Drosophila melanogaster: one gene and its partners. The protein of the gene in region 1 interacts with the protein of each later gene in a pairwise test. Each region holds a gene or a part of one and is shown on either strand. Other genes may lie near its edges. The genes, in order: inv, Mob2, tbrd-3 and drm.

Region 1 (7,949 bases):
TCTACAAATGCGGTTTATGTTTAAGTCGAAGCAAAAAACATACCACATCTTTTTATCAGTGGATTGAGTACACATTTATTTATCCTTTAGATCTAACATAATTAATTGCTACATCAAAGCAGTAAATAGAGCCACTCCCACTCAGGCTCATGCTCCAATAAAAATCATAAAATATGGCCTGGCAATTATTGAGATTGAACGCAATCTTGTATCGATTATCAAATGCTTTTTGTGGTTTTAATACAATGCCATTAATCTGCATCGAAAATGGCGCACAAATAGACGGCACATATGCAGTCCGACAGCTTCCCATATGTTAGCCATATATCATGTGGCCCACAAATGGCCGTTAAGTGCAATTAACTAATTTGTTGTCGAATGTACGTTTTTGGCAACTGTTTTAATCGCCTACGCGCACACGGAATATGTTGCATTAATTTGTCAAATTAACACCTTTGTTGTGGATTATAAAAACTTTGAATATTTTTTCCCGACAACGGCAGCAGTAATTTTTCAAAAGCAACAAATTTATGACTTTTATTCGAGCTGGCATTTTAATTCGCCGATTTTGTAGCTGACTGGCTCAAATCTCACGCTAAATCATTGTTTGCCATAGCAGCTGCAGTCACAAGCCAACTCCGTACATATAGCCCATATAGCGCATATAGCCACTCCGAAAATGATTCCGAATCGGAGGACCAGCGACGCCATCGCCTACAACATTCATTCAAATTATGGAACCGCACTGAGATCGAGATCTCGTTTTAGTCACGCTAAATTTATACAAAAAGCGCTTGGAAAAAAACCTAAAAATGAAACTGAGAAAATGAAAAAGCCACCACAACAATAAACACACCTTAAAACCTCGGAGCGAGTGAGACGGGCGACTGCAGAGCGAAAGAGACGGCCTGTGTGGAGGGGAGCAACCAAAATCGTTTCGAGTTAATTAGCGAGCGCGACAAAACCCACCCAAAAGCGTAGATTTATGCACTCGGTATTCGTTTTTTTTTTTTTTTTGGGGATTCAGTAACGAGACTCCCCCAAAACTCTCTAAATAAATATGAGTTTGACATCCATCAGCGTAATGAGTAAATTGCCAAGGAATTATTCGGATCCGAGTTTATTTGGGCCAAGCTTCTAAGTTGTGTAATTGGGAATCAGGTAGTTAGAAGGGACGACTTTTGATGGATGAATTACAATTATTTACTGATATTTCAACGTTACTTTCTTCAAGCTGGTGTATTAAGATCTATAAAACGTGTGGATAATTGGCTAAAAACTGTCGTAAGTGCTTAAACAGCTGAGCTCGGCAATCTTACAAATTGCATTCAATGATACTTAATAAAGCAATTAAATTTAACTAGTTAAAGATAAAGTAACTCTCGTAATTATATGCCCATTTAAGGCTGATATTGTAATTGAATAATGCTATTGTCAACTACTCTGTTGAACACCAAAGTTTAGTAAGGTCTTAAACGTTTTAATATTGTGTTATAATATCAAGTATCTGTGATAAAATGCATTCAGTCTATTGAGTAAACCTTTGGCAATTCATTACCGATAATAAACTAGCTGAGCAAGCTAATAAAGGTAAACACCTTAACCAAATGACTGCCATCAAGTGGCTTAAATCACTCTCCATTCGCCACTTGAACCACATGATCCATGGACTTACCCGAGATTCCAGGGGATTAGCCAAAAACTATCAAGGAATCCGAATTGCTTGTTCAAACAGCAATAAGCCACCCCATAAATGAGCATATGGGGCACTCCCACCCATCCGATTCCCCCCCAAATTTCAGCCATGAAATTATTAGGCAAACGATTACGAATTCCCTGCGGTGGCATAAACTAAATTCATGAGAGTGCCATGATTGCTGGGAGATTGTTTTGGGGTTGTTCTCGACGGGTTGGGGTGGTGCTGCACACACAAAAACACACACGGGGTGGGTGGGGTGTAGCGGCATAATGAGCTTAAGTTATGTTACATAAGCCATAAGGACATGAAAACCACTCGAGCAGACACTTCACTTCGGGGTGAGTGTTCGCCTCCCTTTCGCTCGCACTCACTTCATTTCGGTGGTTGGCAAACTAATGAGCTGTGGGTTGCTGTGGTTTGGCTCCGTTCGCCGGCTCTTCTGTGGTGTCTGTCGCTTGTTTGCACAACCGCTTTATGAGCCACCACTCAACAGCTCGTCTCCTCGAGTGTGTTTGAGTTTGGAGAAAGAGTGAGTGACTAGCAGTGCACTGCTTTAGCATAAGATGTAAGATGCTTTAGAAAATGCAGGAAATATCCATAGAAACATATGCAAGTAAATAAATTTTGCCAGGATCTACTACAGAATATCTATAATAATACTGGCATGGTGCTGGAGAATCGTATGTTAACGAGAAAACTTGAAACCAAAGGCTTTTCTTTCAAGCTTATGAAGATTAGTATTCAAAACACCAAAACGTAATTTCATAAACTATATTTGCATTCACAAAGTTCATAAAAAGTACGTTAAACGTAGAAATATACAATATTATTTCATCAATATTTGTACTTATGTTTCGCTAGACAACTTAGATAACTGAAGCAAAATTTTTAAAGAGACTTGGACTCACCTGAGCTGGGACGATCGCTGTAGCGGGTGCAGTAGACCCACGCTGGCCAAACGATGGGAGTGCCGGAATCCTCGCCCGATTTACCGGATGCTCCTGTGGCACCCGCTCCTGCCGCTGGCGGTGGCGACTTGACCAGATCCACTGGTGCCCCCGAGGTGTTCGTCGTGCTGCTGCTGGTGGCGGTGCTATTGGAATCGTTGCTGTTGCTGCATATATTCGCCAGCGAGCTGGAGAAGCTCAAGCTCGAGTTGGCGGCGGCGTTACTTTGAGCCAGATTCAGTGGCTTTCCCGACTTCTTGGGCGCCTTTAGGGGAGATCTGTTGCCATTGGTATTTCCAGAATTTTTACTGCTGCCAGTACTGCTCCCACTTACACTGCCACCACCGATATTGCCACTTAAAGCACCAATCTTGGGCAATCTGGAACCAAAGTCCGCCTTCAGGATATTGTCTATGCTGAATTTGAGCGCCCTTTCGTGCAGATTTTCATTGTTATTCAGGTGATTCTGCATGTGATGATGGTGGTGGACCTGATCCCTTTGCAGTAGCAATTGCTGATGGGGATGCACCGCTCCACCGGGTCCCAGACCCAATGCCGTGGCCGTCAGCTGAGCCAGTGCATCCTGACCGCTGGGCACTGTGGCAACCGCCGCCGCCGCCATTGCCATTTGCAGCTGTTTTCCCGCCGCCGCTGCCGTGAGAGCGTTCACCCTGGCGGCGGCCATTAGATGCATCTGCTGTTTCATCAGCTCCTCGGCGTACAGCTGGGACTTTCGCAGGAACTCCTCCTGGAAGGTTCCAGTGGAGGGAGGCAGTTGCAGGAGATCTTCGGGTGAGAAGGGCGGACCTTCGCTGGGCGGCAAAACAGTGGTAGCAGTGCTGCTGAATGCCGACGGTCGATAGATTTGGCTGATCAAAAGCCTCTGCCTGGCCTGAGCTTGAGCGGATAGCGCAGCCTGTGCTGCTTCCGATTGTTCCTGGCCCACACTCAAGACACTATTCTCACTGCAGCAGCTGGCCGGATCCTCCAGGTCCAAATCGTGCTCCTCCTCGACCTCTTCATCCTCTATGTTCAGCTGCTCCTCGCACTCCGTCTGCTCGTCCTCCTCCTCCTCCCGCACTTGGGGCGAGTTGCCCGGCTGGACAAGCGGCAAGGGCAAGCAATCCGGATGCATTTTACCTACTTCCTGGCCACCTCCGCCCGCTCTCCTCTCCTGCGCGTGGTCCTCTGCCTCCTCTAAGGAAGGAATAGTCAGCTTGAGCGGGGGCGGTCGAGTGCTGGCCAAGGTGGACATCAGTTTGAGGGCTTAGGTCTTCAGCTCGAAAGTTCACAGGGACCAAAAGCCGACGGCATTTCAGGGCAGCCAGAAAGCATTAAAAACATTAACCACAGCCAAAAGATATCACTTGGATTGGCAAATACGCCGCGCTATCGTCTTCGATTGACAATTGGTTTTTGGGTTGGGTGATAAACTTGTCGATACCGACGTTAATCCGCTCGTCCGTTAAAAACGTAACGTGCGCTGTTACGAACCGCCGACCAACTGATTCTCTCGCGAACTGAATAGCAAAGCGAGACGGCTGCAGCTGAGAGCCGATTCAAAAAGAGAACTCTCTCTCGCACACGCTCTCTCTCACTCTCCGTCCTGCTCTGGCTTTTCGAACATCCAATCAGCGGCTGCGGGGCGTGCCCTACTGTTGTCCCGCTCGCGCACACGGTCAGCCGCCTGTCAGTTGAGGTTATGTTAAGTGTTTGTATATTTGTTAATTAAGTGCGTCGTCGCCGCAAAAAGAAAAAAGCGAAAAAGAAGGAAAATAGGGATAAGAACTCCACTCCATTTCCATCTGCGCCTTGTCGTTTTGATTATGCGCTGCAGCATTTAAGTCGTAAATCTCACTCTATGTAGGCTGCTCTCGCCCTCCTCCTCCATCATCATCACTTCACTCCCCCTTTCTTTCGCTCCTCTTTGCGGTCTGGCATCTGCAGTCCTTTTTTGCTGGCATCCTATCCGCCGTCCAGCATTATATACCCACACACACATATGGAGTGTGTGCCTGTTTATATACAACACATGCCACAGCTTCCCCGTCTCCTTCACTCCTTCGCTTCCTTTTACTTATTGTTCTTGTTGCTCCGATACAACGAACATTTTTGCGCTTTTTGATGTCATTGTTGTTGTTAGCTGCGCTTTATAAATCACCACCACAATTTTTGTTGCCCCAACATCTGCCGTGATTTCATAATTGCTTTTGATGCTTTTTTGTCGCCGTTTTATTGTTTGTTGTCGTTTTGCCTTCACACATCCCATCGGACAACATTGATGATAGTTCTGCGTAAATGAATACCAATACGTGTGCAATTGCATACGCTTAATCATGGGCGTAGATTCAAAAGCACTGGGGGGATAATGATCAGCTTGCTGGGTTTCTACTGAACACCTTGTCCGGCATTTAAAGACCTCTTAGTAATGCCAAAATAATTGTAATTTAAATTTGGTCCCACAAGCTAATCAATCTGATATCAATAAAAAAATCAAACTTTGATATTCATGATTACTTACATAAGACATTATTTTTAGAATTTAAGTCACTTCGTTCATGTACTATGGAAATTATCCTCCATTCCTGACCAATTTAAGTAGCCCCTTCTCCCGCCAATGAAAATTTGACATACGTTTGCTTGGGCTTGTCTAATTGGCGAACATACTGCATTGTTGCTGTGCTTTGTGCTCATAAATCTGTATTTAGCTTTCCTTTCAAGTATTTGAGACATTTTTGTGTGTGTCATGTGTGGGGTGAAAACGAGTTTGCCTTGTTTGAAGTGAGGTTGTGCAGGGCATGCCGATCACTCTTTTAATTAAATCAGAAAACTTTGTTGTAGTCCACGAAAAGATTTCTAGGAATGGCTGCATTCATTTGCATCATTTGCTGCGGACCTCTTTAGTGACACAGCCGAAATCGGTTAATGTATCATATTTCATATCTGAAATCGACTATCAAAGTTGCACCTTTTCTCCGTTATCGCCGACAGATTGGACATAAAATATCGGAATTCCAGCGATCTTTTTATCGCTGCTGTTGAACCCATAAAGCCCGAATCATGGAGTTTTTCGGGCTGTCCGCGCTTTATTATCGCTTCGAATCGTATTGGTGGAACCACGCCCCGAAATGCAAAGCAATCCAAGCCAGTTTAATAACTTTGTTGCACCATTACAAAGAAGCCAATGCCAGATGCCGACACTGCGATAGTATAAGCACCGACAAACGAATTAATCAGGCTTAATTTCCAGCCCTCGACAAAAGAAACAATTATACGCAGTATGATTAGGAAAAGGAATGGAGTACAAGAAAATAGTTTCATACAGTCGAGCTTCTGTCACTTAACCCTTACCATTTATTTGCCTAAAGACCCGAACATTACCTAATACAGTATAATTCGCTTAGCTGCCTCGAGTACTTTGCACAATGCCTCGATGCAGGTAACTTAAAAATGCAGCTAACTTAATTTTTTTTTTTTAAGGAAAAATAAAGAATTTATTTCTTTATAACAATGTTAAACATAAAAGGAACTGATAATTTCATTCTTAATGATAAGTAAGATCGACATATAAATTTAAGTGATGGTGAATTGATTAAAACACTTTTTAAAACTAACTTAAAAATAGTCAGTAATTTTTTTTTTGCAATACAGCTGAGTTTATATGTAAATTAAACAGCTTGTCTTCCATAGAATTCAAGTTTTGCAAAAACTCATCATTATTGTTTCGCATAAAAATGGACTTTAAAGCCTTAATTGCTGCAAACCCATCCTTAAAAGTAGGACGCTCAGTATCGTCCACATCTTCATCACTATGGCTTTCTTCGTTATCGCTGGTTTTTGCATCTTGAACTAAAGAGCGCACGATTTCATCATCATCTAATTGACCATGGCAAGCCTCATCTGCATCAACATTGGCATATTCATTCCAATTAATATTCGATACAATGTCAACTTCTACGCATTGTTTGTCTAAGTCGTGCGCTCCTTTTCTTTGACGCTTTCTTTTTAAACCTGACGCGGCCACAGCTTCATGAATTTCATTTGTTTTTTGTAAAATGCGGTTGACTGTGGATCTGTCGCATTTGAACTTGGCACAAATTTCCTTTTTGTCCACTTTGTTGGTCACTAACTCGATTATTTGAAGCTTTTCCTTTAGTGTTAGTCCAACGACACGCTTTGTTTTACCCATTTTAATAACTTTGTGTCATAAGAAACAAAAACACAAAAATCACGATCAAAGCAAAAACAAAAACGGACATGCGCAGATACTGAAACGAGTTGGCATTCTTGCCATCTTTTAGATATGCAAAAATGATTCATAGATGGCGCAGCTAACTTTGATGATATTCATTGAAATTGGCAAAAAAAACAGCTGATATGATGCACTTAAGTTAAAAAGGCTGTTATCTGCGATGCAGCAAACGTATGAATTTTCGTACAAATTTTCTATTCACACAAAAAAATGGAAAAATAATGCAGATATCTTGCCGATGCAGCTAACTATCGATGCAGCTAAGCGAATTATACTGTACTGATCATTACCACTGTTTGCGTGACTTACCGCTATCGTAGCTCCAAATTTTAATGTGCTAAATGGCTGTTTGAGTTACAGAAGTTTGACTGTGGTAACCCAAGACCACGAATTATGAATAAAATTAAGCGCAATTGCTCAAAATGTCTGAAAAGCCAACTGATTTCACCCGTTCGCTCCCCTTCACCCCAGCCATTACCTGCAGATTCCATCCGAAGAGGAGACATGATTAAAGCCGCGCACGAAACGCTTTTCACATAAAAGACGCCGCGGAGCGTAAGGCGATCTCGCTAGTTAATCGCGCAGAAAATCTTCATCAGAAATGGACGGAAACCGAAGGCAAGCAAGAGCAACAAAAAGCTTCGCAGTAAAGTTACTCAAACTAAAATAAATACAATCAAAACATGAAGCCTACAACGCAAGCAATAAGTAACAACGACAACACAACGACAACGACAAAAGAGCAAAGCGCGCCGGCAAAACATTACAAGACTGCCCCTCTATCTGCCTCTCTTTCCCGCCGCAGCATCAGCTCCGCCGCCAACAGCAACAACAAATAGCATAATCGCGTCGAGTGAGCCGGCTAACTCCTCCACCGGCCGCCCCTAACAGCTCCCCACTGGGCGCACAATTTAGATGCGCGGCAATAGATAAACTTAAAGAGGCTTTTATTTAAACAAAGCGCAGCAGCATCGCAAGAAACGGCAATGAAGCTGCTCACTGAGGCAGACAGAGAGTGAGATTTGGGCTCCTGGTGGAGCGGATCTACCAA
Region 2 (7,771 bases), on another chromosome or scaffold:
CGCAACTCGATGCTCTTTATATGGATAAGTGTACGATGGTGGATCGCACTGGGAACCTACCGACTTTTACAAACAGCGGGTATAATTACTAATGGGTCTTAACTGGCTTCGAAAATTGTTTCTATGCCTCAAAGAAACTAAAAGTTGCAGATGAAATCATGCCAAATTAAAACCTGATCAGCAGTTAAGCTCTCAATTTGATTTAAGTATAATAATGAAATAAATACTTAAATCAGAGTAGATAACTAATCTTTATAATGTTTCTAGCCTAAGGTCTGTCTTAAGTTGAAACACTAACAAAAAATGTTACTTTAAGAACATTCAGCTAATATTTTGTTTAAAAAATAATGTATGCAGATACAGTGTATTCAAATGTTTCCTTAAATCATCCATAATACGCCTACGTCTTTGTCTATAGGTAAAATGTCCATAATATTGCTGATCACCTAGGCTATGAAAATGCAACGGTAGCTTCCTCTGTAAAACATTTGATTGCCACTGCTCAAAATGCAGAAGTTGTAGTCAGGCGTGTTAACAAGATGCACGAACAACAGCGCTGGGGCAGGCAATAAGTCAAGTTGAACAATAAACATATTCATTTTTCATTGATTTTTATAGCCACAAAGACCACGGTGCCTCTGGTTTGGTCAATGGATATATGTTGGTTAGCGGGGAGGATGGCGATGGCTTTTTGACAATGTTGTGGGAGCAGAGTCTTCTTCACATACAACATCATCTCGAGTTTTCGAGGCTGTTACAAATCCTCAAAAACAAAAACAAAAAATGGGCGGGGGCGTGATGGAAAAAAACACGATTGCAACACGGATATTTCAGCTGCTCGGTGGCGATTTAGCCCCCAAAAATTACATTTTCTTTTGTCTCGATATGTTTGGTTTCGTTTTTTAGTTTTTTTGCCTGCACAGTTTTAGCCAGACCAAAAAACTGACGGCTAGCAATTATTTGGGAGGCCTGGTGGCAAGTGTATAAATGTATCTCGAAATAATCTCGCAGAAATGGCTGCACACGCGTGCAATTAGCGGCGCGTGTTTTGCAGTGGGGAAAGGTGAGCGAAGGAGGCATAAAGTGCCTTTTGTGTGACGGAAACATTTTGCAAATTTTCACTAGCCGCTGCACTGTGCGAATGTATGTACATATATACTCGTTATGTATAAAATATGAACACATGTATTCGCGTTTATTTTGGGAAGCTTTTAGTGGCAGCCAGCACAAAAAAAAGGACTAGAAAAGCGGGGCAAAGGCAAAAAAAAAAAAAAAAAAAAAGGAAAAGAGGAGGAAAACCAAACACGGGTTGGGAAAATGCCTATGATGGCAATGCCGACAGCTGAATAATAAATTTAGCACGGGTCTTCGATTTTTCCGATTTCACATCGCTTGCTCGCTTTCGATTTGGTTCGCTTCGGTTTGGCGTTTTCGTGGCTAACACAACCAACAGCTGACATTGACACTTTTCGCTTTTCGTGTGGCCTGGCGGCGCAGAAAAATCGTTTAAGGTTATTTATAAAAGCAAAAAAAAAAAAATTATCGAACAGTCCCCAAAACACAGAAATACATAAGCCAAACGGGCAGAAATTTGCCCTGTCATAGTTAAAGATTCGTTTGAATGCGAATTTTGCAAACGCACTGCAGCAGCAATTCATCTTAGCCATCTTAGTATTGTCATAATATATCTGAGTAGATACGAAATCATTGAAAATGGTATATTATATAAGCAAAAAGAGGTACCCTGTACATTTCGATCTTTGATTTTCTATTGATATGAAGATCCTCTTTCTTCAATGTAAAACTAATTCGTTCTGTTAGTATTTTTTATATTTTTTGTGCTTTTAAATTTTAACTTTACGAAACTAATATCCCAAATTTCTCATGAAACTCTTTGTGCAGCTTAAAGCAAAAACTTTTAATTGCTTGCAGACAATACTAGGAAGCCAATAAAATGGTCTGAAGTGCGTGCTAAAAAAAAAGTACGAAAAATCGAAAGATGACAGAAAAGGGGTTAATGCCTATTGTTTTGTTTATTCAGCTCGAAACCAGCTACTGATTCCAATATCCAAAATGTTCAATTTCCGCGTCGCTGTCGCACTTAACCTTCAACTCGCATTGAAGCCAATTTGCTGACTCTGTTGTCTTTTCCCCCCAAACGAGTTTTGTCTTTTGTGCGCCCCCCTTCTAGTATCGTTTTCACACCTCCGCACACAGAACAACTGGCGCCCCATCAAAACCGAAATTTATGATGTGATTCTAGCAACGCGACGGCGAGTGTTTTTTTTTTCTTAGATTGCCCATTGCTCGCGTTTTGAATGAGCTTAATTGTTGCCGATTTGAGTGTGCTTTTCATGTATATGCAGCACAACCCGTTAAAGGTCAAATGAGCGATTGGCAAAGTCGAAAGAGAGAAAAAAAAAATAGAAACCGAAACCGAAAATGAACCCCCACCCCCTTTGCTCGCTAGAAAAGCTGGAGAATTATGTCTATGTCTGCTAACGAAAGAAATGAAAACGAGTTCCACAACTGGCAAACGACGAGCAGGAAGACGACAGCAGATATGGAAAGGGAGATAGAAGCTGTGCAGCGGTACGGTGACGTGAGATGTGCGATGCACATGCAATGGATGACATGATATACATAGTAGATAGGTGTATCTCCGTACCCCCACCACCAAACCCCATGCCAAGCCGTACAAAACCCATCCATATATATCTTCGAGCTGGTTTGGGTTGTTCTGTTCTGTTCGCTTCATTTTGGTTTGGTTTGGTCTGGAAGAGCTGACCGGCGGGCAGGCAGAGCATCATACATACATACATATGGCATAACGGTTCGGCGGAAAGGCGCAGAGAAGTTTTCGGGTCGCTAACTAACCCAGTTACCAGAGATTCATCCGACAGCGTTTATAACTGTGACTATCCTTTTCATATGGGTTAAACGATCGATTGAGATACACGTCGAATGAAAACAGTCCCAATAGAACCGAAATGCATATGTATGAATTCGATTAAATGCGATTGCTGAGTTACTAAATTAGTATCTATACGATTTTGCTGGAATTGCTTAATGGGGAAATACCGTGAGAAAAGTGTTTCATAACGGGGGCAAAACGTTCAATCGCAAATAGTACATAGATACTTTTCTATACCATTATATATCGAACTAAAATTGTTAGTTTGGATAAATATCATAGTGCTTCTTCCTAATTAGTTCCTGAGCTTACATAAATCCTTAACATCCGCAACACAGAAGGGCCTACACAGAAAACGAATCGAATTCGGTTAGATAATATCGCACCACAAAGGCTTGAATCAATTTCATTTCCTCTGCCTTCCGCAAATTGTCCATGGCAATTCAACTATGGGAATCCGCAACTAGTTCCAGTTGGCTTTGCAATTTTTAGCATGACCTCAAAAAATCGATGGATGGCCTAGCGCATTTGAGGACCCAAAGGGTTGGCGAGGGGCAGTGGTAGGAAGGCGCGGGGGGTCTGGACGAAAGGTGTGAGAAATAACAAGCTGCTGGTTGAGCCACTCGTAACTGTTGTTTTCTCAGCGTATTGAACACGTAGGCGCGTCAACGGGGTTGACAAAAAGTAGAAACAACGCAACCAGGATGTGCACGGAAAAAAGAGGAAATACTCTAGGCCCAATAAGATATATCATTATTTTAAGATTTTCACTCTTTTTATTTTTAGAAGGTATTTAAAGGCAGTTTGAATAAGGATATATTCCATAAAAACCTATCTTTAAATAATTCTTGTGAAAACTGTCAAATGAACCCTAACAATACCCCCATTTCTTTCTGTGTGGCAGAGAAAACACCTGACAATGCAGTTGAGTGTGAGGGGGCGTTAATAAGGGAGGGTTGAGGGTTGCAGGGCAGACAACCAGACAAGCGGACGAACAGACAGGAAGCTCGTGAGGAAGGAAGTTCCTGCCGCTGCGGCAAAGGAAGTGGTTAAAACAATATGGCAGTGGAGGAACAAGTAGTGGTGGAGTGGCAGTGGCAGTGGCACACCAAGCAACATTGTGAATGCCCAATGTACCGTTGTTGTTGCTGACGCTGGAGTAGCAGCTTTGCTGCAGCGTTGCAGTTGTTGCTGGTGTGCCAATTCTAAGCGCTGCATTGGCAACAGTCGCGCTTCGCCGGTTTCGCAACTGAACTCTCAGCTGCTATTGCTCCTCTGCAGTTAGTTGCTGTTGCTTCTGCTGCTGCTGCTGTTGCTGCATTGCGCGTAATCAGTGAAGCAACAAACCGTGGCAGCTAGCTGCAACAGCAACAATAACACGCCAGCAGTCGCGGCTCTGAGGAAAAACTTGAATGCAGTTTTTCGCAGCGAATGACACAGTTTCACACCAGCACGGGAAAACACTAGCACACACACAGAGAAGAACTTCTTTTCTTTCTTTCTTTTTTTTTTTGTTGGAGAACAGACTCCTTTTCGGCTTACATTTGTTCCCCTTTTCGGGATATTAGTTTGTATTGGTAGGCGATTTTATTTCACAATCTAGCATAGCATTTCACGGTGGCAATTGATGTTGCAAATGTTGCGCTGCTTGCTGCTGGAGTTGCTGTTTTGCTTTTAACTGCGACGCGATGATGTGTGGTTGCAACCGACGGCGGCGCCTCGAAAAACAATGTCAAATAATGACGCGGCGACATCAACAGTCCACTATTGACGACGACCTGCAACCGCTCGAGCGACCAAGCGTGCCAAAGGAAATTTCTACACTGAGCCAAGCCGTCCGTCTTTGACTGACTGCTGCTCGTTCGGCTGGCAACAGCAACACATACACATACACAGCGGCAACAACAGCAACACACAGCGGCAACATCAACACTCACGCAAGTAAGGAGAGAAAAAAGGCAGCAAAAGCAAAAACACAAAACTGGCAACGAAAGCAGAGCACACAGTAAAGATGAAGTGGTTGCTGTTGTTGTTATTGTTGCTGCTGATGTTGCTGCTGTCTCGCACACCAGCAACATTTGCTCTCCGCTCGAGCGCGAGGAAGAGAGCTAGAGGTATCAAATACCAGCTGAGCGGGAGAGAGCTGCCCGTGTACGTGTTTTGCATACAAATGCGCCACTCAAGCGAGACACGCACATCTATACGGTTTTCGACCACTTGTTTGACTGCTTTGGCTTTAGCCCTCTCTCTTCTACGCTCTCTCGCATCAGCTGAGCGCTCATGTTTTGATGCTCAGCAGCTGACTGCGCTGGCGTTGCCACACAGCTCGGTAACAAGAGAACACGGCAAAGTGGCAGTAGAATAGTAGCAGAATCTACTACTTTTTTAACGCATTGAACAAACCTAGGATAAACTCTATAAATAACAATTAGAAATTAATTTTCCACGAAAAGGGATAATTGTACCGTTCGTATGAAACATTTAAATGGATTTCTCATAAATATATTGCCATTGTTGATTCATTAACACATGGTTTTAATGATCACAGGTAAACGAAATAAATTCGGCAAATTTAATGGCTAACACAATTTCGTACAATTGACGCAAACATCACATCACTTATGTACTTTTACCAAGAACACTAATTGGCTTGATAACAATCTGTTCAACTAAAACATCATAGAGTTTTGTTAAAGCGCTAAACATTTATTTAATACGTTTAATACTCTAAGCATGTTATAATTTTTTTCTCAGTTAAAATGACTGCTCTAATTGACTTAAACAAATTACCTGGGATTTGGGTAAGCTCATGCTCAAGATATTTCACTCACCTGAAAGGAAAACAGAAAATAAAGAATTAAAGATATATTCCAATTTGTTATTCTCGATGGTAAGGACCTCCAGCTACGTGGTTCTTATCAATGAAGTGACCCCAAGCCCGCATGAAATAGCTACTCCTCTGACCATCAAATCTCTCCACAGGGAGTAATTATCACGCTCTTTTTCGGCCAGGAAGAAATAAAATCAGTAATCAAATAGAATGGAGCGGTAGACGAAAACCGAAGAACACAGGAACTGCATTTGCTGCCTAACTTACACAGAATCTAGACCCGAATAAGAAAACATAATATAAACGCATCGTCATTCTGCGTAAATAAAGTTGAAAACAGGAACACGCAATGCACTTAGATAAATTTGGACCGACATGTGTGGTATTCATTAAGCGAATAACTAAAAAGAATGATTAACAAAAACACAACAGTACCAACCCACATAAACTTATTTTATATTTTTAAATTTACTAGACAATTGCATTAATACACTTTTTTTCGAGTGTATCTCAAAACAGCTGTCCATTGACGAGCTGAAGAAAAACAAGAACAAATACGACTGGGGCGAAAAGGTGAGAAGCGGATAGAGGAAAAGGAATCTTGGCAGCAGAGAACGCGCACCTGTGACCGCCCGCAATGCAACCGAAACGGCGGCAAGTTCATTTGCACCACATCAAAATTTCATCCACACTATGCTGCGCACACACACACACGAAGCGTGTAATGGAACATCTGATCCGTACCGCCAACTCTATGGCCCTCTCTTTCCACCCACACAGCACAGCAACCATCTCACTTGCTCCAAAAGGTGGTAACGCTCGGCTGCTTTCTAGCGGTTCAACTGCTGCCATTTGCCATTACTCGAATTGCTTTGTGCCCATTACTTATGGCAGCGACTGTTGCCGTCGGACAGCAAAAACGGCACACGATCGCGATCTGCGGATATTGCGGATGTTGCGGCAAGAAGGTAGGAAAATGCAAAATGGTAGTAAACAGAGTTTACAGAGACCACCAGGATTCGGTACAATTAAATACAATATTTTATAGGACATTTTAAGGCATTACATGTTGACTTCTTTCAGAAGTCAGATGACAGTTTCGATCAGTTTGATAACATGTTTAAGTGCCTTAAAATACAATTTGTATATAAATGCCATGTTGCATTTATACCTTCAGTTATATACTTTTGCTCCCAATAAAAAGCAAAAAAAAAAAACATAAAGAGTTGCTCCATTGGCTTATAAAAGTTCAAACAATGTGCCGCAAAAGTTCATATGCACTAAGGGTAAACTTTTCTTATTTGTACTAGGTACATTGAACAATGAACATATTCTTTTAAAGCAAAAATTGTATTTATATTTACGCTGGAAGTAGATAATTTAATGTTGGTTATGATTATTGTTAGCATAGTATGGCAAATATATACTTTCTTTACACTGATTTCCATAATTGCTGGATGCTTTTATCGTAGCCATGCTAATGATTTCTTTATTGATCAGAAAGAATATTTTATATCAAAGTTTTACCGAGACACTAGTCTTCCATACGTTCAATTTTCCATATAAATATTAACTTGGCAAACAACTTGGTTGTTGCTGCTTATCAAACTTAATATTTGATTTATGATTACTTGCTGTTACTCCACCCCTCCCCAACCAACTTCCCTACTTAATTGCAAAGTGAAAGAGTTAAGGAGATTGTTTCCTGGTGCTCGAGAAAAATAACAAACAAACAACACAGCTGCATATGTATGCAAAGAAAATACAATTGTTCAAACTACACTTTACACTGAAAACAAATGTATCAAACGTTTTCAAGAATAAAACCCAATTAATGTTGAGTTCTACATTTTTGGCAAATATAAGTTTTTAAAGAAGTTCCTTTATAATAAAAAAGGTTAAGAAAGTAATTTTTTCTATTGATTATGTTTGATACAAGCAATTCAATAAATAGTTTACGAATATTTCTCTAAATTGTAAATTGTTATTCATCATATTATTTTTATCTGTGTACTTAGTTTAGTGTG
Region 3 (6,350 bases), about 12 Mb from region 1:
CTGATTGGGCAAACGAAGTTCATACCGACACCGTGGACATTGGCAGGATTCATTCATCGCTCTGTAGTCCATCGTCCTGAATCACAGGATTTGAATAGCAATTCCGGACAAGAAATCATCGAACAACGTTCAAATAGGATTCTAGGCACCCAGCACACACAATTTTTTCAGTAAAACATCGAAATGGTTGTTGTTGTTCTTTGTTTACAAGGCATACTTCGCTAGTTTTCAGAAAAACACTTTAAATAAACATAAACCAGATAAAAGATATAGCTACATCCACATTTTAATGCAGAATGGGGATTTAATAGGATTAAAACAATTACAGGTTATATAGAATCGCTTTGATTTTATTCCATTTAAAATCGAAAAATAAATTCAACAAATTATTCAATCATATCTACCTTTGACATCAATATTAGTTATAAAGCTCCACACGAAATCCAGTTTTTTGTGACCACATGTCTGACTAAGATCCTGTTTTTTTTTTTTTATTAACAATTTTCTAGAAAATAAAATTATAGAGTAAAAAATTCCGCCACATAGTGAATAGCCATGAGTTTCCAGAATAAGCTGGATGAGTACACCAGGAACTTGGACCTGGCCAAGTGGTATATGGGAATCTCGGCGAAACAGGAGGCCACGATGTCCACAATGTCCGAGAGCCTCCGGGATGACTTCGAGCAGGGAACAGGGGAAAAGATGTTCAAGGCACTGATATCCCTGGGCCTCCAGCCGGTGATATCCAAAAAGAAGATCAGCCGGATCGTGCAGTTGAGCAGGAACAACATACTGGCCTTCCTGTTCTTTGTGATGGAGGGCTACTACAAGACGAAACAAACGGATGGCGTTTACAGCATTAATGAGCAGCTGCTAATGAATGCCATTGCCAAGATCGACATGTTGCCCACCATTCGTGCTCTGGACATTGTGCTGCCCCAGCCTCCGGTCAAAAAACCGGATCCTCAAACTCAATCGTTAGCTTCCCTGACCACGGAGCGTCCACAAAAGAAACCCTCCAAGAAGTCGCCCTACTTTCTAAGGCAACCGAAGCCGGTTCAAAGGACCTCCCGTCTGACAGCGAAGATTCCCGAGTTTGTCGTGTCATTCAACTTTTGGCCCACCAATGGACCGCCCGAATATGGCACTGAGGAAGAGGAGCCTTGGTATGCGCTGTACCGACTGAATCCCGGCCAGCGACTGATCAAGAAAACCCTCTCCGAGACCCTGGAGCGTTACTTTAAATTGGCAGCAGTTGAGGGGAAGCAGGATGCGGAGGAAACCCAACAAAGTCGGGAGCCCGAAGCCAACATGTGCTTGGTGCACAAGGGTCAGGTGTTGCAGGCCCAGCTCCTGAGGGATGAACTGGCGGTCAAGGCGAGGGATCGCTGCCTGGAACTCCTCGATGTGAACGAGCCATACGCCAAGCTTCGAAAGGCCAGAATCGTGGCCCAGTTGGAGCACGACATCGACGTAATAATGGCCCGCCACCGAAACGCGATGCACTGCGACCAGACCAAGGTGCTGACCATCGAGAATTTTGACTGCGTGCTGTGCCAGCAGATGCTGGTATCGCAACCCTGGCCGGAAACCAAGGGTCAGATTGGTCGGGCTCTGGTGGGCGAGGATTGTACCGTGGCTCATACTACTGCATTCGATACTTACCGCGGAAAAAGGCTGGAGGGTGGTGCGGAAAAGCCGGTAAGTTGAGAATTATCAAATACATACATTCTATACCTAATATCCAATTAAAGAAAAAAAAGGATGGCACAGTAGCCCGTACCAGTGGAATCGATACTTGTCGCGGAAAAAGGCTGGAGGGAGGTGCAGAGAAGACGGTATGTTTGAAATTACCAAATATATTTACATTTTCCATACCCACTTTTATTTTTCTATTGAACAAAATTAAGGATTCCACAGTACCCCAACCGCCTGCAGAAAAGGGCCGCGGAAAGAGGCTAAAGGGTGGTGGAGGAAAGCCGGTGAGTGGAAAATTACCAAATAGATTAACTTTCATTACAATCTTTCTGTATTGAAGAAAAAAGACAAGAAGGGGAAAAAGGAGAAAAAGGCTAAAGTAGTGGAACCGGAACCAGAAAATCCGAAGAAGCCGAAGGTATCGCCCTGGAAGCCACCGCCTCGCAAACTCGTTAGCGGCCCCTTCCGTATCCACAACATCGACTTCAACGAGTACACACAGGTGTGTACGCAAGTAGTTGGTCCTTCGGAGTGCGAGCTTCCTCCGGCTCCCAAAAAGTCGGCCGTATCTTTTATCCTGGCCAAGGGAAAGATCGAAGGGAATGCACACAAGTGCGATATGCGCATGCCCAATAACAGGCATGTGAAAACTAGGTTCTTCCGGGGACCCCGTTCGAACAAGCCGTACCAGTTCAAATACCATCGGGTCTTCCAATCCGGCCAACCGAAACCCTTTGATCTCAGTCATATTATGGCCAAGTCTTTTGTGAAGGCGCTGGATCAGTCGGATGGGGACGAAGCCGATCCGTGTTACTTTAGGGAGCTTTTGTCGGAGATGGTGATTGAGGACGAGGCGCCTCCGGATTCCAAGTCTGAAGGCCTTCCCGAAACCGAGCCGGAGAAGAAATCGAAGCAGGACAGCCAGCCCCCGTTGGAAATCTTTAGTGACCTGGATCAGACTAGAATCTCCGACAGTCGAGAGACCTTGGATCGTTCGAGCAACCACAGTGGTCGCAGCCATGTGAACTACAAGGCGGAGATCGTGGATGCAGTAGTGAGATGTGCCAAGGCGGTTTGGCAGAAGCGTACCCTAATAAAGCGGGCCGAGATGGAGCGCATGGGCAGAATGACGCCGCGCAAGGCACTGACCCATAAGGATACGGAATCATTCGATCCGAACGATGCCGCCCAGATGGACAAGTTGCTAAAGGATGGCATGCGAGTACTCAGGAAGGAGCCCCGCTATGTGCTGGCCTGTCTGCCAGACGCCCACAAGCTGCCAGTGCTGCGGGAGTGGGTCAAGAGGAGGTACGGCAAAACCTACAGCCAGAAGGAGCTCGAGGAGAGTATAGCCGAGTCGAGCAGGATATTCGAGCTGGTCACCATCCTCCAGAGCAGTCCCGCCAGTCCCGATCTTATGGGCATTGATCGCCTGCCCAGATCCAAGGAGAACTTTAACTTCTATAAGCAGATTAAGAATACGGTATATATATATATATATATGTACATATATTTTACTATACTAAAACTATATTTTTCAGGCTGCCCTGGCTAAGCAAACATATCACGATCAGTTGAATGCCCGCTACCTAAGCATCGTGAGCTCCGCCTGGTACGCCATGGGCAACTATCTGGTGCCCGGAGGACCTCCTCGGAAGACCTTTTTCGCTTACATAGCTTCCAATCCGCTGGAGATCATGCGTAACAAGACGTGGAATGGGGATTTCCGGAACTACCGCTCCATGCGCGACAAGAGAAAGGAGCAGGAGAAGCTTTTGGGCAAAAAGGACTAGATTACAATAAATTAAAACTCTTTTTCAATCTGAAACTCAATTATATTTGGGCTTGGTGCGGGCCACTCTTTTGCCGGTGAACCCCTTGCTGGCCAAATAATCACGGATGCCGCGTTTGGTGTGCACCTTCAGTTTGCAGATGTCGAACTCCAGCTCCTTGTTGCAGTACTCGGCGCCCTCCATGCGTTGAATGAAATGGATGACGTGGAGCAGCACCTCGCCGTCCAGCTGCTGAATCTTGGCGTGCAGATCAAGGTCCTCCTCGGTTGTAAAGGGCTCCTGCTGCTCCGAAGTTTCCAAAGTTGCCGGCGGAGTCCAATCGGGGGTCGGAGTACATTCGGTGGTTGGAGTACATGAGGGGGGCGCACCCATTATGGAGGGGGACACCTCCGAGCCGTTCACCTCGTCCTCCGGCGATGATGAGTCCGATTCATCCGAGGAGCTCTCTTCCTCGGCACGCACTTTACTGCCGCTGGAGCAGATGTAGAGCTGCACCTGGGAGTACATCTCCTCAAAGATGATCTGCAGCTGTTTGGCCATGTGGTAGCACAGGTGATCGGGATTCGTGTACAGATAGGTGTTGTAGAAAATCAGCCTTATGTCTTTGGCGAAATCCGCGGCACTGAGATAGCAACCCGTATTCAAACGATGCCTCACGGTGGACAGATCCATGGGTTCCCGGACAATCTCATGGTAATCGTGGAGGCCCAGCAGTTGCGGATCCAGTGGCTCGTAGAAAACCCAAGCAATATTCTTATAGGTACTGGAAAACAACCTTTTAATAATCACCTTGCAGGCATTAATTTCCGGCGAGGACCGTTCAGTTTCTTGTTTTGCAGCCATTTCAGAAAAATATCTTCGATATCGACTATCGGAAAATTCTATTATAATTTCTATCGTTTTGACAACTTGAACGCAATACAACTGACAATATTCACACTCCGGGTTGCCCTGTACGATGATATTTTTAGCTTATGAAAACTTTTAGGATTGCCACCTCAATCCGAGCAGAAAAGTCAATCCACAAATGCGGTTTGGGGCAACAAACAAATTCAGTTAATTATGCAAGTGGCTCCGGCCAGGAAAGTATTTCCATACATTTTGTGTGGGAGTGCGGTCCTTTGTGGGAATGCTCTGCCTCAATCCTGAAGCTATGATGGTTAATCTAATTCCGAGACCCGTACAAACAGTCCTTTTTTCGGTAAACGTATTTAAAATCCCCATCGAGCTGTGGGGGCGAAAATATTTATGGTCAACCGCTGACGTTTGCTATTTTAGAGTGCCGAAATATTTCGTTAGCATAAAAGTTTTGTTAGGACACACAATATACATCATTTTTGGGCAAATATTTGCAGGGCTTTCATTTGGGCAGTCAACAAGTTGGGTTTACAAAAGTTAAATCGAAATCCTGTTTAAAGTCACTCTGTTAAGTTGGCTTCCACAGGCATGAGGGGAAATCCTGTTCCTGTGGCTCTCTCCCTCTGTTAGCTTGCGATCCACAACTGAGAGCAACCGATTTACGGAGACCTTCATTTTCTCGCTGTTAACTTACCTGCCACAAAATGTTGCAAATTGGGTGGCAATCGGACCAGGTCTTGGCCACATCTTGGGGCGCCTCTTCAGTCTGCTGTTGGGCCTTTGGGGGAATGGTCCTGCGAATGGGTCAATTGGGATTGCACTCCACTGACCCACTTGCGAATGGGGATTCACCTCTGGGCATCATCTGGTTCGGATGTTGACCTTCAACCCCAAGTTTGGAGACTTTACACATAGAGTTTGCGAAACCGAAAGAAAAAGAGATTAATCTTCAAAGTATATTTAAAATATATATAATCAAAAATACCAAATAACAATATAGATAAAGTTATACCCTATATCTGTCATATATCCACTTTTTCGCAAGATCATTCGCTTTGGAGGCATCTAGACCTAGAATAAATTGATATGAGTGATATTTTTATGCATATGTGTAGCTGAGAGCCCTTAGCACACGATTCCCTTTGATCTTGTCGATATGTCAGCGGGGCAGAACTTTACTTCGCATTTCACGGCAAACATTCCGCTCTCTATTGCCGATTTCCAGATAAAAATCTTGTTCGTTTTTCACATAAGTAAAACTGCGACACTCAATCAGTTGGCAGATGAAATTATACACCCAGAGACTGGGCCAGGTGCTAAAAGGATCGCCAGGGGGACGCAAAGGAAACGTGTGAGGCTGTCAGTGGCAAGCACATCCCTTTCCCCCAAACCCACTTGCCTCGCACCTGCGAACGAATCCCTACCTGGCCATCCCGCATCCCATTGGAACCGGGCAATATATGGATAAATATAAAAAAAAGGGCGGCAATATGAAAGCCCTGCAGAAATGGAAAGAAGGGAAGAACCAGCAGACGAGGACGCCGAGGAGATATGAGAAATGTACATTTGGACAGGCTACACACGCTGCCCTCGCACGGCACAGCGATGGAGAGGGGGCTATTCGAGCGAAAGAGACGGCGACAGCCAGTCAGATGTCAAACATTCTTTTGACACTTTGTCATAGCATCTCCCGGTGACACTTGTCAGCAGTCGGATTTCGCATTTCGGTGGAATGGCTGTGCCGCAGTTGATTTATACTGCCATGCATATGATATATATGTGTGTAAATATATACCTATAGGTATGTACGCGATTGTATCTTAATAGCATTTACTTATGCACCGCCCGAATTCAATTTAGCTAATGCAGCAATAAGAGTCCATTCATTTACCGTTTTCTGAGTATTGGCTACAAATTAACAAAACAAAGTTGGGAATCACTTGATCAGCTATTGAAGAAACCATTGAACTTGAACTCTAGTTTAAATATCTTTATTTCATG
Region 4 (7,949 bases), on another chromosome or scaffold:
CTTTTCGGGATATATATTTCCCAGATTTACTGGCCTTTTTGTTTCGCCCGGCGTATTCGGGAATTTTTCTGCGCGAAACAAAAGCCAGCGCTGACTGGTAGCGACAAGCGTCTCGGCAAGACCCGATTTCGATATTTATTTATATGTTATGGTGCTTTCAGCTCGCAGCTGGAACACTTTTGGGACTGCGACTGCGACCGGGACTGGCAATGGGAATCGAGATTCGGATTCGGAATGGGATTGGGATTGGGCATCGGAATGGGAATGGGAATGGATGTGGAAACGGGTTCGCTTTGGTGATCGGCGGTCGGGGAGCTAACGTTGACAACAAAAGGCAAACGTCACAGCGGGTGCTGCACCGGCCGCAGACGGTACGTAGTTATTGTCATTATAACATTAATGCCCACTAAACATATTCAAATTATAACACTGAGCCGCGCTCAAGTCCTGCACTCAGAAAAAAAACGTCTTCTCGTACTAAAAAGTAAAAAGTAACCGCGTGGAACAATGCTGGAAGGTCATATGATCTATATTTTTAAGATGTTATTTTAAAGATAATAATGAAAGCAAGTAAATAATAATGAAAGCAACTTTCAAACACTTTGATACCCCGCTTTCGCCCAGTGGGTGAGGTGCACGGGTTCGGGCCTGGGTCGCTGATCGCATTGGTCATGTCTGGTGGGAGACTGGGACTCGGCTAAGATCGGCTCAAAGGCCTGGCCAAAAGAGACTCCTCCAATGTTAATTTGTGTACACAATGTGGCGTCACATTGGCATTTTAACGCCGTTAATCATGCGACACAGGGCGCCTGCATAAGGCCATCCATTCGATATGGATTCTTTGGGTCCGGGTCTCTCCGCCTCGATCGGTCTCGCATTTGGCCATGCTTTGCTTTGGATTTGGACTCGGACTCGCATTTGGACGTGGACTTGTATTAAGTTTGTCTCTGGGAGCGTGGGCCTAAGTGGAGCACCATTAGCCACGGGTTGCTCTCCGGGGTTAAGCACTCTATTTGGCCATTTGCTGGATGCGTCGAATGACGATGGAATTGTCTTCAGTCTGGGGATGGGGCAAAATGGGCGGGGGAGACCTTCGAGAACAGTGAAATTCGAGCTGACAATTGAGTGAGCCCATCAATTTGGAAGGTTAAGTTAGCTGGCCTGGGGCATTCCAATAATAAAGGTGTCCAATGGCACATGGTCTATCCATATTGGTAAAGTCAATCTCATTATATTAACTCAGCAAAACTGAAAGGTAAAGCATCTTCCTACAGTTATAATCCTAATCTTTTGATCAAGTTGGTATATCCTTTTAATCCGTTGAAAATCCAAGCAAAACAATCATCCGAATCCATCTAAAAACCTGTGCAAAGTCATGGCAAATCCAAACGGGCTTAACTTGGCACCTTCTCCGATCCGGGACTTTAAACGGTCTCCAACTGTTAGTATTTTGCAACTGGACATTACAATCCGCTTATGCGAAAAACGAACACCCACAGAGACGGAGGGAAAACTGCCCAAATATTGTATAATAAACTGTTGTCCAACTCAAAGATAATCCCATTAATCCGCACTGAAAATTATTAGTGTTGTGCACACACACATAGTTTCGGACAGGAAGGTTGAGATGTGAAGATCTGAAAATCTGGAGATCTCTGGGAGATCTTCAGCACAGCATGATCCTGACTCTGGACTTTGGGTTTCCGTGTGAAGGGCATGCGAAAGGCGTTAATGCTGCGTGAAATTAGATTTGCAGCGATGGGAAAGAGAAATAAAATGGCAAACTGCAAACAGAGAGTGAGATTATATATGGCCAGATCTCTGGTAAGAGAAGTAAGTGCGTCGGGGGCTTCCACGAAACTCGAGCCGCCTCGAGAGTTACAGTTTAACACCCCGAGATAAATGTGTAGCGGTATGGGCGATAACAGGCTCAAAACTGGGTCCAAAAAAAGGGCTCAAAGCAGTGACACACACGTCGCAGGACGTGGGATATGGTCGAAAGCGATTACCACACTTCTTTCACCTCGCACCGTGGTCATCCCTTTATTTTTTGTAGGAGGCGGACAGTGAGTTGGCAAGGTGCCATTAAAAATTACAACCGAAAAGTGAAAAGAAGAAACCGAAGCGAGAAAAAATGACAATAAAAGGACATAAGGCTCTGAAGACAAAGGCACCGAAGTCCATTTGATACGAATCTAATTGTGCTAATGGCGCAGAATTCCCGGGAAAAACACCCACACACACGAGATCCTGGCCTGACAACAGAACCAATAAGTCGGTGGAAACAATTAGGATGTGTGGCACTGCCACTTCAGTGCGAACAAAGGAATACCTTCGTAACCCCAAACACAAACACACCACAAGATACAAAGATACAATGCGGCAAGGTATGAGCGATCTTCCCTAGATCCATCGCAAATCGGATGGGAATTTCGTGGCCGAAGCAAGTCGATTTCGGACGCTTCTCACCTTCAGCCCGTAAGATATGACAGTTGCTCAAAAGTCGGCGCAGATTAGCTGCCAGCTGAGCCCATTTACCGTAATCGCTTAGCTAATTAGACTCTAATTGATGGAGCGCAGCGGGAGGTCCAGACGAGGTCAAAGATCAGACAGACGGGAAAGAAATGGTCGCGGGAAAGCAGTAAGAATTTCAGAGGTCACGAAACTCTTACAACAACTTTACTTCAGTATAACTATGTTAAACGAATTTCCCTATATTGTAAATGTTAGTCCTACTTCCAGAAAGTTCCCCTAGAATATGGGTTCTGATTTCTGCGATTTCGCACCAGATTCATTGGAATTTTCGCACAAGTGCCAAATCTCAGGTATTTCAAAGTACCTGACTTTGACGCAACTTTTTGAACATCTGTTGTTAGCTTGAGCCGTACTCATTGGTATTTCATAATCCAATGAAAAAAGCACAACTCCATGACTCATAGGCAAATAACTTGTACCAAAACGGCTGATGATGATATGCCAAACATTCTTGGCGATGATTTGCCGTGTTTTGTGCGTCCGCGATCAACCTTCGACAAACTAGGCTTTTTGTTCTTAATGCTGACTCATTAAACTTCTCAGCTTCTATTCTTTCAATCTGAAAAAATGCCGACGGCTTTAAGAGTTTTCAATTCCTAGACAATTTCAATGGAAAACGACTGAAACCTTTAAAAATAGAACAGGTTGAAAGTTTAGGATACAATAAAAACTTATATTTGTTCTGAAGAGAGCTCAAATGTTTTTTTAGACCAACTTTAATAGAAAATAATATTAAATAGTTTTCTTTTCGAAAATTAATGAGCATTTTTTTATGAGATACAAATTATTTCTTCTTCATTCATTTCGGAAATTAATAACACATTTGTACTATACAATGAGAGATCAATAAACTCGGTTGTATTTCAAGTAGATCACCCATTTTGGGGAATTCGTGTCAAGAAGTGCGGGTAAAAACTTTTTACAGTCCAATAGGGAAATATTCGGACTTGGCGTCCGCCATTTTGGCAAATGGCGACACTTTCTCACGCACACAGAGGCCGAAAAGCTCCGTTGGCCACACGCATGCCATATTAGACGCATCGCCCCTCTCCCTCTGGCACACTAAAGAGCCGAAGTGAGAGGCCCGGGCAGAAAGAGAGGCCGATACACGCACCCGTGTTACGTGTGGGGTTTACTTCTTCTTTTCTTTGCTCAGTTTTCAGTTGTCCAATGAAAGCGGCGTAAAACTGGTAGCGAAACAAGTGTGGAAGGGGGAAGAACGACGAACAGAAGAACACGAAGAACGCCATTGAAGAGAGGAGCTGAAGAAAGACTTACCCAATGGGATGCACTGGAGTTACGCGTTCTTCGGACTCGAGTAGAGGCTAACCGATTTCTATAGCTGAGTTTTGTGCGATTTTCGTATGTCCGCTGAATGGATAGATCGATTTGTATCTCTTTTGAAGGTACTCGCGAAGGAAATGTTACTGATGTTGTTACTGATACTGTTACTGATGAGAGGGAACTATATACGCACGCTCGAGCGGCACAAAGTTGAATGAATGAATGCTACTAATAACTGAAAGAAATAGTAGTCGCCTCTGCCGCCGTCCTCTGTCGGCGTCGCTGCCGGCGTCGCTGCTGGCAAGTTGAGGAAGCGAGATCATCGCTCTGTCCCTGTCTGTTACTCAATTCGGTGGCACTGTGTGAGTGTGTGTAAGTGTGTGTGAGTCATCCGAAGAGAAACGAAGCAAAACGAAGACCGGTAGCCGAAGCTACTGCTCATGCGCAGCGCTCGCTAGCCATCCCTTTCGCTCGCCCTAAGTTCTTATGCGTAAGTACAGAAGCTGGCAAACGGAAGCCACAAAATGGCGTCTCTTCTAACGGAAGCCAAGCGTAAAAGTCACAAAATGGCGTCACTTACCTATTGCGAAAGCACGAAATTCCGTTTGCTATTTGGCAAGACACAAATTGTATGCAATTTCTGTTTGGTAGCACTGTGTTGGGTAATATTATTAATAAAATATATTTCACTTCCGAACGCTTCTGTGCGCGAGAGTCAACTGCAAAGTTACGATCGAAAACTTCAGCTTGATGGGTTGAACTTTTTCTGTTTTCCTTTTTTTGGTTACCCTCTTTTTTACAGCCCTCTCTCGGTTGGCTGTCCCTTTCCCACGCACTGTTTGGGTCGCGGAGAACGAGTTTTGAGTGTTTCAGCTGATTGGTCGGAGGAAAATGAGCTAAAGAGCGAACTGAGAAAACTGGAGAGTGAGCGAGCGAGAGAAGGCTACCTGAGTTGAGTGGTTTCGAAGGCGTTACCTGAGTTGACTGTTAATTAAGCTTAAGTAAGCCAACATTTCAATTAAGTTTAGGCGACTAATGAGTGAAAGGTGTGCTGGATAATGCGGGCTGTAATAAGCTTGCGATTTCTTTGGATTTCCTCGGACTTCTTCTCTGTCTTTCTAGCTGCTGTTTGGCTAAAAAGGTAACTTTCTTTCACTTATACCTGTGTATATTTTTATAGATGTGGGCGTGGCTTTGGGCGGCGCTCTGTCTGTCCCACTCTTTCGCGCCGTCTCGCTCGCTCACCCCCTTTTTAACTGCTTCTTAACCCGTTTTGCGAGCGAGCGAGAGGCCAAATATAAAAACCAGTGGCAGAGCAGAGCAACCGTATTACGCAGTGCTCAATTTTTAGTGTATTTATCTTCTTTTTTTGTGGAGCTCCATTTTGTTTTCAGGGCCTGAGAAACTTTTTTCTCGCATTTCCTTTGGCTTTGCCGCCTCCGCCTTTGTTGTCGCTCTTCTGCTTGTGTGGCCTCTTTAGACCCGAAAAAATAATACTACAAAAACACCATATTGATGGTCTGTTTATCTTTTGTGCCTCACCATATCTGTTTATCTTTTACGATTTCTCAATGAAATCTGAAAAACTGTGTCGTTCATTCAGCAAGAAACTTCATTAACTTAACACCCAGTGTTTTTAATTAGGTGCGCCAGAAAAGGATTGTTTTTAATTAAGTTTTCGCCTGTCCATAAAGCTTAACAAATTATTTTCGACTGCTTTTGGGCATTTTTAAGTGCAATCCGTTGGCAACTCCACTTTGATGGCTTCATCTCTGTCCGCCTCGCTTTTGTTTCACTCCATCTGTGTCCATCTGTCTTATTGTTTTTCGGATCAAATTTGCATATTTTAAATGGCCAATCAGCAAACTCGAAAAGGAGACGTATCGACAATTGTGAGGAGCTTCCTTTTGAAGGAGAAACTAATTATGAACCCTCCAAAGAAGAGTCTGAAAAATGACTTGGCTTACTTGGCAATTTTGAAGACTTTGTTTTCAGAGGCGAGGAATGTGATGCAATATTTCACTCGATGTTGAAAGGTTGTTTGGTTCACAAAGATTATTGTATTTATTATCATAAACAAACAATAATTTGACCTTCACATCCATATGTAGTCATTTTTTTTTGGATTTTCCGCATCCTTTACTCATCTATCATCTTCAAATAATCTGTCACTTAAAAAGCCCCTAAATTTTTGACAAATACCTCGCAACTTTCTCAATCTAACAACAAATAAAGTTAGGGCCAGCATAAATTCCAACGACCCAAAACTTGTGCGCCAGACAGTGCACACAAAAGTATTAAATTTCATTAATTGCCAATATTAAAAAGGCAAACAAAATCGAACAGTAAAAAAAATGAAGATTGGTGAAAAATTAAAAATTCATACGGCAGCGATGCGGTCACATAAATTTCGGAGGAGGCAACAAAGACTACAGCTAAGAAAAGGCAGATGCAAAAAATTATAATAAATATATACGCGAAGATACACGGATGAATCTGTGGAAGCAGGCAAATGTCGAAGACGTGGGCGTTGAATGGGATCCGTCGGGGTTTTTTCGGATTCAGTTTTTATACTTTTTGGTTAATAATAATGAAACTGGACCGCAGCCACCGCAGCAAGGCGTTGTCAACAGTTGGCGACGATGATGCCGATGAAGCTGATGATGCTGATGATGTCGCTGGTGCTGATGATTCCGGTGATGACGAGGCCCCGACTTGCCTCCATCTTAAGCTCTTCATTTCTTCATTTGGCACACGGTAGTTGGCTGGGCTGTCATTTAGCTCCAAGACTCTGGTTCTCTTCCAAGGTGTGCGAGTGCTAAGAAACTGGGTGTATCATCTCACTGAGGGAAAGGCAATATAGCTTACAAGATTTTATGTTAATATGAACAATAACTAAGTGTAGTTTGACAAGAACTTTTTTCTTTTAAGGGCAACTAGGCTTTCCTCGTGGCGAAAGGAAATGAAGTGCACTTTGTAACGATTTTCTTCGAGTGTATCCGCTCCCCACCAAAGTCGTGACTTGATTTATTTTTTTGGCCCAGACTGGTGTGTTTTCACATAAATCTGAATTATGGTCCGCTGGCTCGTAAAGTCGCTGGGTGATGTGTCTATTTTAACAGTTAGTCGGGGGGCGGAAACCGAACGTCGAACGATCTATCAATGAATCCGCAGCTGAATGAAGTGGTGGCCCCAAACAAAACTTGATCGGATCCTCATTTGATATGCAGCTTCGATCTTCAGTTTGTATGCTAATTCTCGTGTCGTTCGGTTTTCGGTTTCAGATCGCGTCCATTGTTCATTTTTGGCTGTTTGCCGAGCGGTGTTTTATTTAATTTTAATTTTTATTTCGTAAATTTTAATTTTGTTGTCACTTCTGTGGGAGCAGGCGCGGTTTTTCCACTCGCCCATAGTCGCAGATACGCATTGTTTTTTTTTTTTTTTTTATTATAATTGGGTGCGGTTCGCAGTGGTTCGGTAGTATTTCTGCAGAACTCCATGAGTCGATCCTATTGTTCAGCTATAAAAAACAGTCGCACAATCGCACGAGGAGCTCTCTTTTTTGTGAGGCAGCCGCTATAGAAATTAATAAAATTTATGGTTTATTGGGAATTCTTGTTCGTTTTTTCGGTCATTAATTCGCCATAAAGAAGTAGGCAAAGTGTGTGGCAAAAGCTTTTAAAGTGGGCAGACAGGCGGGAATCCATTGTTCAAATGGATGTTGTTCGTTAGGTTTTTAAATCAATTTCGAGCTTGATAGCTTACTTAGGAGCTGTGCCTCGAGATGAACCCATTTAGTTTTAATCCCCGAATACTTACAATTTATTTATTTGATTCGGTTTCACGCTCAATGGGTCAATTGATTTCAATAGAGGTTATTTACCATATAAGCACTCCGCCACTTGACCCCAAGCCCATAAATGCATCCCCACCCTGAAATGGACCATTGTAACTCGGCTCTCATAACACTTATCGCTGACCAATTGATCGAAAAAGGTGTCAACCCATGTCTCTTAGGTTCTCAAATTGGAATTCCTCACCTCCCTCACCCCTTTGTGCTTAAAAACTTGTAAATTGCGTGATTTTCCTAGGAACACAATACCCATTCTACACAAACTACCAGCCCACAT

Evidence for each region.
Region 2: the proteins of inv (region 1) and Mob2 interact in a two-hybrid assay, tested with the Drosophila melanogaster proteins (one large-scale study listed by BioGRID).
Region 3: the proteins of inv (region 1) and tbrd-3 interact in a two-hybrid assay, tested with the Drosophila melanogaster proteins (one large-scale study listed by BioGRID).
Region 4: the proteins of inv (region 1) and drm interact in a two-hybrid assay, tested with the Drosophila melanogaster proteins (one large-scale study listed by BioGRID).

What each region holds. Positions count from the first base shown.
Region 1 is NT_033778.4:11,471,928-11,479,876, reverse strand, and holds the start of inv (invected), read right to left. Parts: upstream 4,170-7,949; 5' UTR 3,902-4,169; coding exon 2,608-3,901; intron 1-2,607. UniProt on the Drosophila melanogaster protein: Engrailed (en) and invected (inv) are functionally redundant transcription factors in neuronal precursor cell NB5-3 specification.
Region 2 is NT_037436.4:11,548,374-11,556,144, forward strand, and holds the start of Mob2 (Mob2), read right to left. Parts: upstream 4,740-7,771; 5' UTR 4,457-4,739; intron 4,321-4,456; exon of another isoform or gene 4,166-4,320; intron 1-4,165. UniProt on the Drosophila melanogaster protein: Required for the normal morphogenesis of a variety of polarized outgrowths including epidermal hairs, bristles, arista laterals, and dendrites.
Region 3 is NT_033778.4:23,323,223-23,329,572, forward strand, and holds tbrd-3 (testis-specifically expressed bromodomain containing protein-3), read right to left. Parts: upstream 4,360-6,350; 5' UTR 4,335-4,359; coding exon 3,528-4,334; 3' UTR 3,517-3,527; downstream 1-3,516. Other genes in the region: CG30416 (uncharacterized protein), read right to left, coding at 1-72; CG9861 (uncharacterized protein), read left to right, coding at 556-1,701, 1,755-1,838, 1,911-1,982, 2,039-3,181, 3,240-3,491.
Region 4 is NT_033779.5:3,535,842-3,543,790, reverse strand, and holds the start of drm (drumstick), read right to left. Parts: upstream 4,059-7,949; 5' UTR 3,814-4,058; intron 1-3,813. UniProt on the Drosophila melanogaster protein: Putative transcription factor. May function redundantly with odd and sob in leg joint formation during the larval stages, acting downstream of Notch activation.